Drosophila melanogaster: one gene and its partners. The protein of the gene in region 1 purifies or fractionates together with the protein of each later gene. This does not show direct contact. Each region holds a gene or a part of one and is shown in the gene's direction. Other genes may lie near its edges. The genes, in order: Nph, Hmr and ProtA.

Region 1 (3,470 bases):
GACAACCGAGAAGGTGAGCTGACACACTGCATATATAGGGCCTAATAATTTCTATTGGCAATCAACCTAGTTTAACGGCATTGAGGTGACCATGGCCGATCTCAAGGGCAGCGTGGACTACGCGGCAGCCGAGTACTTGAAAATGTCGCTTGTGTCGCACGTGACGCAAAGAAACAGCGAGGGAAGTGCCCCCACCACACTGGTGGTCATTAAGGGACACGAGATTGCCTCAATTGATACGACAGTGGCTTTGGTGAGTGCCAGCTTTCTTTGCTGCAAACTATGACCTTTGACCCGAAACCTCTTCTCTATTCCTCGCGAAGAACCTCAAGTCACTGCGCGAAGATCTCGCCCTGCTGAAGTGCGACATGATCTGCTGGAATTGGAGTATTCCGGCGGCGGGAGTGATTTGCCGGATGGACAGGAAGCTGCGCAGTATGTTCAAGTTCTCGAAAAGCTTTCCAGACCTAATGCAAACAATTGCGGATGCCGAGGCAGCCGATTCGTGTATCGCCGTTGACTTGAGTCAATAAAGAGTGCTCTTTTGTCTTGCCGTATGTGTATCTGCGTACAGTTGCGCCAATGAATTTGGTTCGGAAAGGTGGGGTACTTAAACTATGAGGATCTTGATGGTTAAGGTATAATGATGGTTAGGTACAACTAATGAGAAATTTTAAAGCACAAATTAAAAATATTTATTATAATAAAAATTATATTCTTTAAAGAAGATGTGCTTTGATAGTTATTCTCGAAAGTTCCTAACAATATACAAAACACCTAAGTCCCTGGATTTACTGGGACAGTTGTAAAGTACCTAGTACTTCTTTGCAAGTACCTTGTACTAAAAAGAATTTATGTACCTAGCACATCCCATTGGTAATGTACCATGGCAATCGAAAGTCCGGGGCTGGTTACTCGGCGGCCGTTTGCAGATGTACAGACACAATTACCCTAGCCCACCACAACGAGCGAAAAGTTCGAGGTTGTTCTGGTCTGGGGGAAAAATGGAAACCGGTCCCTGCCCCGCCGGCCGGAAAAATGCAACGAAAAAAAAAATGAAAAAGAAAAAAAGAAGAGGACACCAACCGGCGCGCGCATACACAATTTATGGGATTTACTACATGCACTGAATGCCCCGTTTCGCATACACAATGAATGGAGTACTCACCTCGACCACGTTGAACTCGTTCTCCTTGGCCTCGGCGCCCAAGAGGATCTGTTTGATGACCAGCTTCTGGCCGCGTGCGTAGTCCTCGTCCACATCCCACGTGACGCTGTCGCTCTCGGCGGTCAAAGTGACTCCTGCGGAGGGGATATAGTCGCCATTATACTTTCTGATTCGTATCTTATTCGCGCACTCAAATCCGAGGGTTTGAGGCTAGACACACACAAATTGGCCAGCGGCAAATCTTAGAGCAAAAACACCGGCAAGCTTCGCAGACACTCCGCCTTTTCGGTGGTAAATACGCCTTCTACGCGTCCACTTTTGCCCCCTTTCGCTGCCTATAGAGTGCAACTGCTAAATTGTAATTACCGTAGAATGATTCCTCAGCCATGGTAGGTAATATTTAATATTAATTCCACACAAAACCAGCGGCGAACACGTGTTGAGCAAAATCTTTTGCAAAATGGTAGCTGTCGCAGGGTTGCCAGGCCGACGTAAGGTGCCGAAATCGATGATTGTCAGACTGGGAATCAAAATCGCAGGGCTGCCACTTGTAGTGTCCAATCGAATGTGACAATCTATATTCGTTTGTTGCAAGCTAACGCGACAGTAAAATATATTAAAAAATATTTCAAGTCTTCATTACCAGTACTTGCGAAGTTCCCAACAAATTAAACGAATAATATCGATAGTCCTGCGCTTCGATAACAGCACCGCTCAACGCTTCACACAACTGCAGCCATCGCCGTTTTACGGGCACGTGTAGAGTACAAAAGGTTCTTTTATTAATTGACTGTACATCTGTGTTCCAAGGCCTGCAAATGGAGTCCGAGTCGTTTTATGGTGAGTACCATTGCCATTTGGGCTGGAAGAGCGCTCCAATAGCCATCCCATAGCCACGCTGCGAGCAGCTCCCCTCCAGCCGGCAAAAAGCAGTCGGAAATCCAACCCTTCTCGCCGTTCGTCCACTTCCAGGTGTCACACTCAGCGAGAAGGAGGCCATCGCACAGTTCGAGGTCCCAGATGTACCCGAGGAGTACATCGTCCACTCGCACAAGCTCATCATCAAACAGATTTCCCTCGGCCCAGAAGCGAAGACCGGCGAATTCAACGTTGTACAGGTGAGCCTCGATACCGGCAATCTGCCCCGCGTCGCAGGTCGTAAATTTAAAGGCGACATGGCTGATTTAACTCATATCATATTTCGCGAAAAACTCGGAAATTATACAGTGATAAAATGCACACAAATTTAATGTTTCGCTTCCAGGCGGAGACGAACATAAACGACGATGGCGAGAAGAAAACCTTGAAGATCCCCATTGCCGTGTTGAAGGTCGGCGAGACCCGTAGCTTAAGACCAAATGTCGAGTTCCCCAATGGATCAGTGACCTTCAAACTGGTGCAGGGAAGTGGACCCGTACACGTATGCGGCAAGGTGAGCTCCATCCATCCATCCATCCATCTATCTATCTTTCTATCTACTTTGGGTTCCTGTTCCTAACAAATTGCCGTACCCTCAGGTCGAGATGAACTTTGGCGAGTTTGACGACGGTCAGATTTACGAGGAGTATTCGGACGAGGAGGAGGATAGCGAACTGGAATTCGACGAAGAAGCAGCTCCTCAGACGAACGGCAAGAGTAATAAGAAGAAGTAGAAACACATTACACTCCAGTAAGCTAACTAAATGATCCGAAAAAAATAAAAACTTCAATACGACTTTAATAATGTAAAGAAACCATCCAATTATAATGACCTTTTGTTTTTGGTCTATATTATATGGAATTTTATTCATTCTGTGTTGCGTATGTTCAAATATGTCACTTAATGTAAACGAATTGTGGCAGTTTTAAGAAGAATGCTCACGGAAGATTAAAACAAAAGGAACCCACTGGGTTTTTGTGCTAATTACAGGCTCGGGCCACCGAAATCTTCTGGCGTGGCACTCTGAAAGTATAGATTGGTGGTTGGTTATCAGTATATAATTATAAAGTAGGAGGCTGAGCGCCTACCGTATGTGAATCACTCGACGCCTCTCGTCACTGGGATGTATAAGGTCCAGTTTCTGGCTCCACTCAATCAGCTTCATTTCATGGCGCAGCTTCTTGCGGTCGAAGTAAGATATGACGCAACTGATGGGAATCCAAAAGACTGCAGTGACGAGGACAACGGCCACTGAAAATATGATTGAGCAAGTGTGGCTTAGTGGGGATCTTCAGAATGTAATATTTAAGATTGCAATACTTACTGACAATGTTGTCCTTGAGAAACCTCAAGGTCTTGGCCACATTTATCTCCTCGATGATG
Region 2 (7,073 bases), on another chromosome or scaffold:
AACTGAAGGCAGTTGGAGAAACAACGAGGATGGCGCAGTATCTCCTCTATACGCTGGCGCAGCAAATCGGGCAATCTCTCCGCCAACCGGCGTTCCACTCCCGACTTAGTTGTAATATTGAAAAGGGCCATTACCAGACAAATTCGCTCCATATCCTTGAGGCGGGCAGTCTCTAACTCACGCTCGAATCTCAGCAGTATGCGCTCCACCAGTGCATCATTGCACGTTTGCAGTTCACAGCCCAGAAGAGCCATGTGCAGGCACGTGAGGAGGGAAACGCGATCCACTTGCGACTCTAGAGCGCTTAACATCTTCTTTAGCGGCTCCACTTGTGGCAGCTTGCTGCTGTACCGCAGCACCTTGAGCAGCGCTACCAGGACAATGTCTTCCACGGTGTCCAGCTCGCTGCCTAATCGCTGATAGAGTTGCGTTAGCAGCTCCGGATTTCTGATAGGCGTCTGTGTCTTAAAGAAGCCCATGGCCATTACGCCCAATTCGGACAGCGTCATTTGATCCACGCAGCGGGCCAGATTCAACTCGAAATCGAACATCTCGAAGACGGGTCGGCGCAGTAGATTGCACAGGAACATGGAGTGAACGAGCTGTTCTGGCGGCAGCTTTCGCAGCTTGCGGCCGAGCTTTTTCAGCGCCAGCCACACGTACTCGCCTATCCTGACCAGACCAAGACGATACCAGGCATCGCTCACGAGTAGCAATTGTTCACTGGACCATCGCTCGATGCGGCGACAGCACTCGATGTCCAGGGTATTCCATATCTCCATGTAGTTCTTGGCTTTGGGCGATTCCGGTACGGGCAGCTCGGCCAAGGCACTAAGCGATCCAAGAAGTTGTTCATCCGTAAGGCGATGCAGCTGCTCACAGAAGCAGCGGGTAAAGGCTTCGTAGCGGCTATCGCTGATCTTCAGTTCCATGCGATTACAGTGCCTCACCAGGCCTAAAAAGTCCGCATAGAGATCGGCAGCACTGGCATCTGGCTGTGGCCGCATAAAGCCTTCAGATGCGGGCAAATCCTGCCAGGCGGAGTCCCGAGGACGCAGTATTGCATACGGTTTGAGAGAATCCATCAGGATTCCATGGGCGAACTGATTCTCTCGGTCCGCAAATATTCGCGCTGGTGAAACGATCGTCGTGCATACTTGGCGGCGCAGACGTCCCACACTTCGCCAGAGGTAGTTTGTTCTTGCCCACATGTTTTAGAGCGATATTTGGTTGTAAATTAATTCAATTCAATTGAATTTGAATGGAAAACGCGTTATGAAAACATTCGTTGAAAAACCTGCCGGCTAAACAGCTGACTGGTAAGCAGCGTTGCCAGAACGAAGAAATTGGAGTGCTCGCAAGTGGGAGAACTTAACGAAATATTCTGCTCTCAGCGCTTGGCTGCTATCGATAACTCCACTGATATCCAAATGGGTAGCTACTAGAATGTAGCTTTACAAATTGTAACGTGTTTTTTCAACTTATTTTTGTTTAACTTAACACAAACAAAAATATTTAGCTATACAATTCTATTTCACACTCAAATATTAATCGAATGTTTCGATAACGGTATCCGTGGTCGATAACGCTCTTTAACCATTTTGCGTTTGCAACCGCCGACTATCTGGCGTCGCAAGAAACCTTATTTACGTAGATATATTTACGTAGATACGCTTGCACTTAATAATCCTGTAGTTGCAAGTTGTTCCCAAACTATTTCCGAGTGATTTTATGCTACAAAAGAGTGAAGAGTGAAGCAGTGGTTCCATCGGATTGCCCACCGGTTTCTCCGTTCCGAGAATTCTCGACGGCTTGTGTGGGGGAAAGGCGCGCGTAGGTCAAGATTGGAGCTATCAGGTGTCTAGGACATGGAGGAGGAGCCTGTTGCCATTGAAAATGATTGCCAGATAATTGTTTGTAAGTCCGACAGTTGGTCACCTGGTCAGCCGTTCAACTAACTTCCGTTTTTTTTTTTCCTCAAAGCTGACACAATTGGTCAGAAGACGAATGGCGTGGATGACGATAAGGCCCCAAATCCGTTCAGCAGATGCACTTATCCGGGATCTCGGGATGGCGGCATTCTGCAAACCTATAGGGCAGAGAGGCTGCTCATCGCTTTGGTACGCCGCCAGCCGCTATTGTATGACGCCCGGCATCCGAAATTCCGCGACGTCGCTCAAAGGGAGAAACAATGGAAAAAAATCGCCAGCCGCCTGGCAACGAATGCGACCAACTGCAAGAGATCCTGGTCGGCGCTGCGATATAAATATCAGCGCCATGTTCGTCGTCTAAGAAACTTTCATCGCAGTGCCATCCAAAAAGATCGGGCGGCCCTGCGTTGGCGTCCTTGCATGGAATACGAGGAAGAGATGCGCTTCATGTATACCCATGTGGCCAGATTCCCACTGATTGTCGACAAGATTCCGACAGAGATTCTTGAAAAAGAGCATGTGGATGAGAGCGAAACCCGGCCCGATGTGGAGGTCATAGAGAATCCGCCAATGGACATCATAGATTTGGATGTCGAGGAGGACCCCACCTATAACTACCGTTGCAACAGGTTACAGCGTCGCCTCATAGAGGCAGTCAGTGCCTATCCCCTTCTGTACGATAGCACGTGCACGGGCTATCAGAACACACGACATCGCTTTCTAATCTGGAGTGCCATTTCAAACGAAGTCCATGACAAAGCCACCAAGCTGATGAAGTGCTGGCTAAAGCTGCAGACTCGCTACGAATGGGAGTTAATCCATCGCCCACGTCATATCGGCACTTCGGAGCTGTGTCGGTTGATGGACTTCATGGAACCGCACGTACAGCGCATGCGCGGCACCGTATGCAAGTCTTCCAAGTACCTGCAAAACGGTTGGCACGAGCCCATTGAGAATTTCCACACTGTGATGGCGCTGATCACCACGATGCGCAACATGCCAGAACTAGTTCAGCTGACGGAGGACTCCCTGCACAACAAGGTGAAACCGCCGCGCTACGACGAATTCTGGCAGAAGGTCGGCATGGAAGTGATGTGTAGTCACGAGCACTGCGAGGTCACCTGGCTGGTGCTGCGCGCCTTTTACCACGAATTGCAGGCCGTGCGCTCATCCGGCTATCAGCTGCAGGACAAGTGGTTCTTTGAGGGCTCCATGGGTCTGGCCTTAACGCCAGTTACCTCTCGTTCCACGGCCCGTCCCGCACTAAAGCGGACAGCCAACGGCGCCATACCAGTGGCGGGGGAGCCTCCGGCCAAAACACCGGTGCCGGTACGTATGCCATTGGCTATTGTCTATCCGTCCACCTCAAAAGGCAGCAGCACGAGCATGACCAACAGTGCAAGCACTGCCACAAGCATTGGCCCCACCTTCACCAATGTTAGGAGGTCCTCTGGCCCAGTCATTAACAACACATCCACCGCCGCCGCCGCAACGAACAGCGTCAGTTCGAGTGTATCGCCCGATCAAGCTCTTCCCAAGTTTGTGATTCCCAAAATCACGTCCGCCATCAGTGTGGGCTCGGGATATATGATACCCCTAAAGTTTGTGCCCAACGTACGAATTTTGCCCAAGCCGGCGGCGACTATGGGAACGGGCGTGTCCCCCATCGCCACCACCAATCAGATGGCGGGCCCAAACGCAAAGCCGCCTGAAGTGCGTCCACAGATAACGCAGGGTCCTGGCTTACAGGTTAAGCTCCATACGAAGCCTCAAATGGCCAGTAGACCGCAAATGGCACCTGTAGTCCCCCGCACTGTAATTCGAACAACGAATCCAACCAATCCAGCTCAAACTCAAGACAGGGTATCCGGAGGGCCAATGTCGACACTGGGTGAACTGCTTAGGCCACAAAATCCATCGCAAATACGTTCACCAGCTCCGCAACAAACACTGCCAAATTTTGTACCAATAACAACATCGAATATTACAGCTAAAAGCAATCTGCCAACACCCACTGCGGCTCCAATGGTACGAATACACCAGCCGGGACTGAAAAGCGCTTGGGATGGCAAAAGCAATAGCGCTCCGTTCAGTAAGCCAATAAGATCACTATTAACCACATCTTCGCCTGCAGCTGCTCCTATTGTAGCAACTGCGGAACCAGCGAGAGCAAAAATAATACCACCAAAGCCCAAATTGCCAGCAACAACATTAGTAAACCCCAAAAAATATCAACCAATCGTACCGGTAGCAGTACTACCTACAGCAGCAACCAGGATGGCCAAACCTGCAACAGAACCAGCAACTGAGCTGCCTGTAACTACGCCACCAATCGCCACTGGACAAACAACTCGAGTCATACGAAAAACACCATTATTTCCTACATCTGCAACACAAGCTGCATCTGACTCATATGCCACAATACAGGGCACATTAGCAAGCCAGGCTAAAGCTGTGGGAGCAGCAATATCAGCACCAGTGGTCAGACCAGCCAAATTGCCGACAGTAGCCAAGGCAACAACAGCATCGCAGTCAGATATAAAAGCAACTGCAGCCGCATCCGCAACCCTAGGCAGTCAGCCGGAGAACTTGCCGCTTGGCAACATAACCGTGTGTCTGCACGAGAGTGATACCACTGGGAATGAACTGCAAGTTTGGTGCGGAAATCAGGGTACTCGCTTCAATCTCAATATGATTAGGACGACGACGTTGATCCGCGAGGTGATGGCTGTGCCGCAGCTGCACAAGGAAGATCCACAGTTGGCGGCCAAGTGTGTTGAGTTCTGGCATTTTATCGCCAAGAAGTTTCACATGCCAGGTAGGAGTAACTATATATATATTAGAAACATTGGCTCATACGTTCTTTTGTTCTGCAGAGGAAGCTTTGCGCGCATGCTGGAAATTCTTGGCGGCCAACATGAGTGTGTTTCCAAAAATTGCGCCGATGTCGGAACTGATGCGTCCGTTTAAGTACAGCGAAAAAGTGTGGGAAAAATCGAATCGCTTGTTTGGCAAATTTGACGAGATAGCGCTAAAATACCAGTGGTTGAATCACAAGAACGTGTTGCCGGAAGTAATACGCTTCTTCGCGAAGTACGAGTACCTCTACTGCGATTTACGCAGGCCGCGACCTGGCGAAGATGCTCAAGCTCCGCCCCAGTTGACGAATCAGGAGAAGCAGGAGGTGTGGCGGGAGGCCCGCCTTAAATTCCCAAATCGTATGTTTAATAAATGTTATAAGCCAATCATTTATTAGTAATTTTCTGTTCTTTTGCAGTCAATCATCGGGATATTTGGTCAATGTTTAAGTTCGCCTTCCGCACATACCTGGATGATTTAGAGCGCGGCATCGATAATCCCTGGCCGCAGAATTGGTGGCAGGCACTGGAGCAACTCAGGTTTCTGGTCAATGTGCGCTACCATCCGCTCGAGCCCTACTACTATATAGTGCACAACAGGATGTCAGAGGAGGTGAAGCGCTGCAAAATGCACGAGGCTCTAACGTCCTCCGATCATATCGATAAGACCAAATTTACACCGAGCAAACTTTTAACGGGCTTTTCCAAAGAACCCAAGCCATGGGAGACGGAGGAGGCCAAGCGCTTGCTTACCGGCAAGTTGAATAGCGTGAGAAGCACTGAAACTCTCACTCAAATTGCTCCAGCTCCGGCTCTAGCTTTGGCACCCGATGCCCAACCTATTCCTGTACCTGATGGCGTTTCCGTGTCCAAAAAGACAAGCGAAAGCAAGCCAGCGTCAAACGCCAACGTCAAGTCTCATAAAGACAAGAATATCTCCACCGCCCAAAAGCGGCCGACCCCAGCGAGAAGTGTCACCTGTAACAATCTATCCCCCATTGAGGCGTTTGAGTTGTGTAAGAAATTGCGTAGCCAACCAAACAGCTTCGAGCGGGCGAGCACTCTGGACAAGCGAGCCGCCTGGGTTCGCGTATCAAAGGAGTTGCATGCCACAGGTAATCATTTGCAAATATGTCAATTTAGACATTTGATTAAAAGTACATATTTTGCAGTGACCGAATGCCGCCTTGGTCTGCAGTACGCTCTGCGCGAGATGCGCAATCTGAAGATCGCCGATCCAAGCAATCAATGTACAATGGGCCACAAGTACTTGCACCACATGTCGGAAATCTATAAGCAGGTGAAGCCGAACGCCCAGCTGACAGTCCGCACGCCACAGCAGCTCAACCAGTTAAACGAATCGCTTGCGAAGAACACTCAGGAAGTTAGCCCGCAGGAGTTCCTGCCTGAGATCAATTTGTCCACTTGCAGTCCGGATCTCGTGGTGAAGAATTGGGCCTACGCCGTCGGTAACTTGTCCACGGCCAGTCAGGATACACTGCTCGGCAAGATGACGCAGCTGTTCTCTAAATACGCCAAGGTCAATCCGCCACCGCCTTAGCTCTCGAAACTTTTGGCACACGTAGTTTAGTCATACATATTCTCTGTAAGAACTTTCGCCGTACCATTGACACCCTTCATTGCCACAGAATACATCTTATTTATTATTAAGTGCATGAAATTGCAATAACTTTTTTTTTTTTTTTAAGAGCCCTCTAGAATAACTTGAATAAATGGCCACAGTCAACTTTCATATGATGTTTTGCACTGGGACTGTTAAATTTAAGATTTTAAGAGTTCCTGAGTACCATAGGTATAATACCAAACTGAAACTTGCGCAATAATAAACAGTATCTAATGTTGTTAGACGCTTAAAGTCGCAGAATGATAGCGATGAGGGCAAGGCCCCATGATTATATGTCGGTCAGCCGGCCCCGCCCACTTGTATGGCCTCTCCGAGGACATGAAAGTAAGCCCGAATAAATTGGGCGTGCAATTGGGAAAAGATTTGATTGCCAAGTTCCTGGAGGAGTGGCTAGATAATAAGGCGCACGTAAAACACAGGGGATGATTGTCTAGGACAAAGGAATGGCCAAACTATTTGACGATATACTATTTAAAGGATTTTAGTAATCCTCCCACATTTCTTTCGAAATGACGAACAGTAAACAACGGTTACTTTTTGGCTCTACCACCTTCTTCGCCAAGTTATAAGGAAAATATCAGATTTTCCTTTTTGCAGTTTTTTGTTAAAAAAAAATCACAATTTCTTCGAAAGCAATTA
Region 3 (4,848 bases), on another chromosome or scaffold:
TGGCCCTCCTATCTGGCTTTAAACTAATGCCGGGGCAGTCTGTCGACAGGCAACCACCTTGCCACGCCCCACGCCTTGTAATGACGTTATTTACATGCTGCAACAACACTGGCAGCAAGCGCGGGCAATTAAATAAATCATAGCGGTTCACGCGGTTCGGCCGAAAGAAAGATCCAGTTAATCTAAAGAGAAACTCTTAGTTCTTTCTTTCGTTGTCAGAGTGAAATTGTAAATAAATTACACGTCCTGATTGATCAACTTTTTGTTCGTTACAAAACAACGTCGGGAATCAGATTGCAACTGTTATTAATTATGGGCTTTGTTGCAGTTGCAACCGCTTGTCTCCTGCTGTTCAGGTCTTCATCCTGGTCGGTAGGGCTTGGGCTTTACTTTTGGTTTGAGACTCGGATTGCTCACTGAATAAGTGACTTCTCTAGGACGCAACTCTGCGGCTTCTGGGGCCAACACTCACATGCGGGGGGAACATACTCCATCACAGTTGATGGCTGACATCGTACACAACAAATAAATCCCATATAAAACTTCCCTTTCCTTTTCTTTTCAGAGTTTGTAAAAATTTTCTACGATGAGTTCAAATAATGTAAATGAGTGCAAGAGCCTGTGGAATGGCATAATTTCCATTTCTGCAAAAGATGAAAGTCCTAAAGGTCTCACTGAAATGTGTAATCATCCAAAGAGGAGAGCACCGCCCAAATGTAAGCCAATGAAGTCCTGTGCAAAGCCGCGCCGAAAGGCAGCCTGTGCCAAGGCGACTCGGCCCAAGGTCAAGTGTGCACCGAGTCAGAAGTGCAGCAAGCAGGGACCTGTCACTAACAACGCCTATTTGAATTTCGTGCGTTTCTTCCGAAAGAAGCACTGTGACTTGAAGCCGCAGGAATTAATTGCAGAGGCCGCTAAAGCGTGGGCCGAGCTCCCGGAGCATAGAAAGGATAGATACCGCCGGATGGTACGTATTTTTTTTTTATATTATGAAGACTATTAATTTGTCCTTTCAGGCATGCAAGGTCACCACCAGTGAACGCCACAAGCGCCGACGGATTTGCAAGTAATACTGAGATAGGAAAAAGTCTGATGCAGTTAAGTCCAGGCATATATTTTCATTGATTTGATACCATTCGATGAATTTAGAAATAAAAAAAATTAAAAACCGGGTTTCATTTTTTTTACGATTCTAGGATGTTGGAATAGCGCGAATGGGTATTTGTGGTTGTTCCAGGTGCCCGGCGAAATTCAATTTATTATTCCACTATATGAGCTTTCTAATGAGCTGTGATCCAAAGAAATGAAACGGCTGAGTGGTAAATGGGCACGGCAATGGTGAATTCGAAGATATGGATAGGCTTCTGCTTCAAGCTTTTCCACAGTTCTCTGACCAGGCGTCTGTTGTGAGACAATCGAAATACCCAAAAATTGTTTCACATAATTTATGCCACCTATGAGGAAAACTTGCCACACTGCCACTGGCAAAGGGAAACATGGGGGCGTAACCACCTAACAGAAGGATGTTTCCCAGGATGCGTATCCGCCGGCGTCGTTTCGATCAAATCTAACTTTATTCCATATAGTTGGCGTAGGTTTTGCCGTATACCCCTTATACCGGGCAGTCGGTTTTTTTAAACATTAGTTGTAACTTGGTACACAAACAGTTCACAAGCAAAATTTTTCCAAAAGTCTTATTTTTATGCTCTTCTTAAAAATTAGTTGTGACAAAAATTTGGTTTAAAAAAAAAAACTTTATAAAGGTAAGTGAAATAAAACGAATTACAATTTATTTTTACAGAACAACATACCATACAAATTATTTTAAACGAAGCGCATAATTATTTTTTATTGGTATGCCAATCAGTTTCGATAAACTTCATTTGAAAAAATTTTACTTTCAAAAATTTCTTTTAAAGAAGCTTTTGTGAAATTCAGTTCTGTAAATGCATTGTGATGCGATTAAATTAATGTCGACTGTCGACGTGGCGTGTTTGCCTCGATATCGGATGGATGTGGCCCTCCTATCTGGCTTTAAACTAATGCCGGGGGTAGTCTGTCGACAGGCAACCACCTTGCCACGCCCCACGCCTTGTAATGACGTCATTTACATGCTGCAACAACACTGGCAGCAAGCGCGGGCAATTAAATAAATCATAGCGGTTCACGCGGTTCGGCCGAAAGAAAGATCGAGTTAATGTGAAGAGAAACTCTTAGTTCTTTCTTTCGTTGTCAGAGTGAAATTGTAAATAAATTACACGTCCTGATTGATCAACTTTTTGCTCGTTGACAACCATAAAAGGGCAGTAGACAGGGGGCACACTGTCATTGTGGCCGAAAATGTCCAGGCAGCCGCTCGTAAACATAAATCCAAGTGACGCTAATTGTTTGTTGCAATTACTGCTGCAGTTGTTGCCACCGTTCAGTTACGTGTGCAGCCAAATGGGGCAATGAGTGGGGTTTTGGGCTAAGGGGTGGTGAGTAGGGACTTGTGCTTGCATGCAAATTTTGTTGCATCTGCAGTTGCTGCTGCTTGTGCTGCTGCTTGTGCTGCTGTTGACGCTGCAGCAACGGCAAACAATTACTCAAACATTGTTGCATCTGCTGCTGATGTTGCTGGCACTCATCTCGTTGTGCGTGCTAAATGGCAACTACTCTGGCGGCTAATGATAATCACTCGACGCCCTCAGCTCCTGTCGGTTCCTACTTAGTTTTACCTGCCCTCGTTGGCTTTTAAATCTAGTTTAGCACTTAATCAATCAAGGCTTCCTTTCATTGAAGAAAAATAGCTTTGAAGATAACTTCCTCCCGGCGAAGCCCCAATAATATCCATTCAACTCGTGCTGTTTTTTTTTATATTGATCCACAAGATAATTTTAAGTTCGAAGAGCCAAAAGGAGCATATTGGGCCTTCAATGAAGCTCTCTAGCTAAAGCGAATTTTGTATTCCAACTGGGTGTTCAGTGGGGTTTGATAGACAATGCAGGCAGTGTGGTGCGATGGCACAGCTGGTCACAAATTGTAATTTGTACACATCCATAACGATTTCAAATTAATATTTCGAATTAATATTTGTCAAGCCCAAAATATCAGCTGTGGGTGGCAAATAAATTGCTCGGATTTGAGGAAACTTCAGTAATCTTGAATTATACAGATATTGGTTTAGCTTTTTTATCCTTGGAGAGTCCTTCTATTAATTATTTACCACTGCCCATTTGCTGTCGGGTACTAATTTTCATTACAAACTACTGTAGATTTCCATGACAATTATATAACCAGTTCTTAATACTCATTGGTCTTGGCTAAGAACCGCCACTTAGGCTCCCACACATGGTGACTAAACGTCGGTTGTCGGGAGGCAGCTTGCAACTGTTATTAATTATGGGCTTTGTTGCAGTTGCAACCGCTTGTCTCCTGCTGTTCAGATCTTCATCCTGGTCGGTAGGGCTTGGGCTTTACTTCTGGTTTGAGACTCGGGTTGCTCACTGATTAAGTGACTTCTCTAGGACGCAACTCTGCGGCTTCTGGGGCCAACACTCACATGCGGGGGGAACATACTCCATCACAGTTGATGGCTGACATCGTACACAACAAATAAATCCCATATAAAACTTCCCTTTCCTTTTCTTTTCAGAGTTTGTAAAAATTTTCTACGATGAGTTCAAATAATGTAAATGAGTGCAAGAGCCTGTGGAATGGCATAATTTCCATTTCTGCAAAAGATGAAAGTCCTAAAGGTCTCACTGAAATGTGTAATCATCCAATAAGGAGAGCACCTCAAAAATGTAAGCCAATGAAGTCCTGTGCAAAGCCGCGCCGAAAGGCAGCCTGTGCCAAGGCGACTCGGCCCAAGGTCAAGTGTGCACCGAGGCAGAAGTGCAGCAAGCAGGGACCTGTCACTAACAACGCCTATTTGAATTTTGTGCGTTCCTTCCGAAAGAAGCACTGTAACTTGAAACCGCGGGAATTAATTGCAAAGGCCGCTAAAGCGTGGGCCAGGCTCTCGGAGAATAGAAAGGATCGATACCGCCGGATGGTACGTATATTTTTTATGTTATGAAGACTATTCATTGGTGTCCTTTCAGGCATGCAAGGTCACCACCAGTGAACGCCACAAGCGCCGACGGATTTGCCAGCAATACTGAGATAGGAAAAAGTCTGATGCAGTTAAGTCCAGGCATATCCTTTCCTAACATTCGATGAATTTAGAAATAAAAACCAATTAAAAATCGTGTACTTTTTATTACGATTCTAGGATGTTGGAATAGCGCGAATGGGTATTTGTGGTTGTTTCCAGGTGCCCGTCGAATTTCAATTTATTATTCCACTATATGAGCTTTTGCATGAATAGATAATGAGCTGTGATCCGAGGAAATGGAACGGGAAAACTGCTAAGGCTGAGCGGTAAATGGGCACGGCATTGGGAATTCGAAGGTATAGGAGGAGTTGCGTGTGCTTCAAGCTTTCCAGAGTTCTCTGACCCGTCGTCTGTTCTGAGACAGCTAAATTGAATTATTAATAACACGCAGTGCCCGCAATGTTATGGATGCCATAAACCCGTTTCTGCAACTGTTCTGTGAGTAAATGTAATGCACATTGTGGTTTTGGGAAGACAACCTTGGGACAGTTGGCAAAAATAGCAAACGAAAAGGCGAATGGAACGGAACGGACTAATCGCAGCACTTACGACCATAATTTGTCAATTTTCGAAACAATTCCCAAGGCTCGCATAAATTGTCTGGTGGCCTCCTGTCTCCTTTTCCCTGTCGTTGGCTTTTGGCACCCATTACAGCTCATTTCTCTTACTCAGAGAAACATTGCGCAGTGAAAAATGAAAGTGAACCCGAA

What was found.
Region 2: the proteins of Nph (region 1) and Hmr purify together in Drosophila melanogaster (affinity purification with western blotting, with the first as the bait; one study listed by BioGRID). This does not show direct contact.
Region 3: the proteins of Nph (region 1) and ProtA purify together in Drosophila melanogaster (affinity purification with western blotting; 2 studies listed by BioGRID, with this or other methods). This does not show direct contact.

Annotation. Positions count from the first base shown.
Region 1 is NT_033777.3:30,003,120-30,006,589, reverse strand, and holds Nph (nucleophosmin), read left to right. Parts: upstream 1-1,728; 5' UTR 1,729-1,986; coding exon 1,987-2,008; intron 2,009-2,140; coding exon 2,141-2,286; intron 2,287-2,432; coding exon 2,433-2,600; intron 2,601-2,685; coding exon 2,686-2,820; 3' UTR 2,821-2,909; downstream 2,910-3,470. Other genes in the region: CG7912 (uncharacterized protein), read left to right, coding at 1-13, 71-253, 324-533; Nlp (nucleoplasmin), read right to left, coding at 1,169-1,302, 1,535-1,556; tace, read right to left, coding at 3,068-3,110, 3,176-3,338, 3,412-3,470.
Region 2 is NC_004354.4:10,590,388-10,597,460, reverse strand, and holds Hmr (hybrid male rescue), read left to right. Parts: upstream 1-1,605; 5' UTR 1,606-1,868; coding exon 1,869-1,917; intron 1,918-1,983; coding exon 1,984-4,749; intron 4,750-4,807; coding exon 4,808-5,149; intron 5,150-5,208; coding exon 5,209-5,904; intron 5,905-5,961; coding exon 5,962-6,350; 3' UTR 6,351-6,541; downstream 6,542-7,073. Other genes in the region: CG2124 (uncharacterized protein), read right to left, coding at 1-1,211.
Region 3 is NT_033779.5:14,878,426-14,883,273, reverse strand, and holds ProtA (protamine A), read left to right. Parts: upstream 1-1,621; 5' UTR 1,622-1,763; intron 1,764-3,634; 5' UTR 3,635-3,655; coding exon 3,656-4,036; intron 4,037-4,085; coding exon 4,086-4,145; 3' UTR 4,146-4,224; downstream 4,225-4,848. Other genes in the region: ProtB (protamine B), read left to right, coding at 587-967, 1,017-1,070.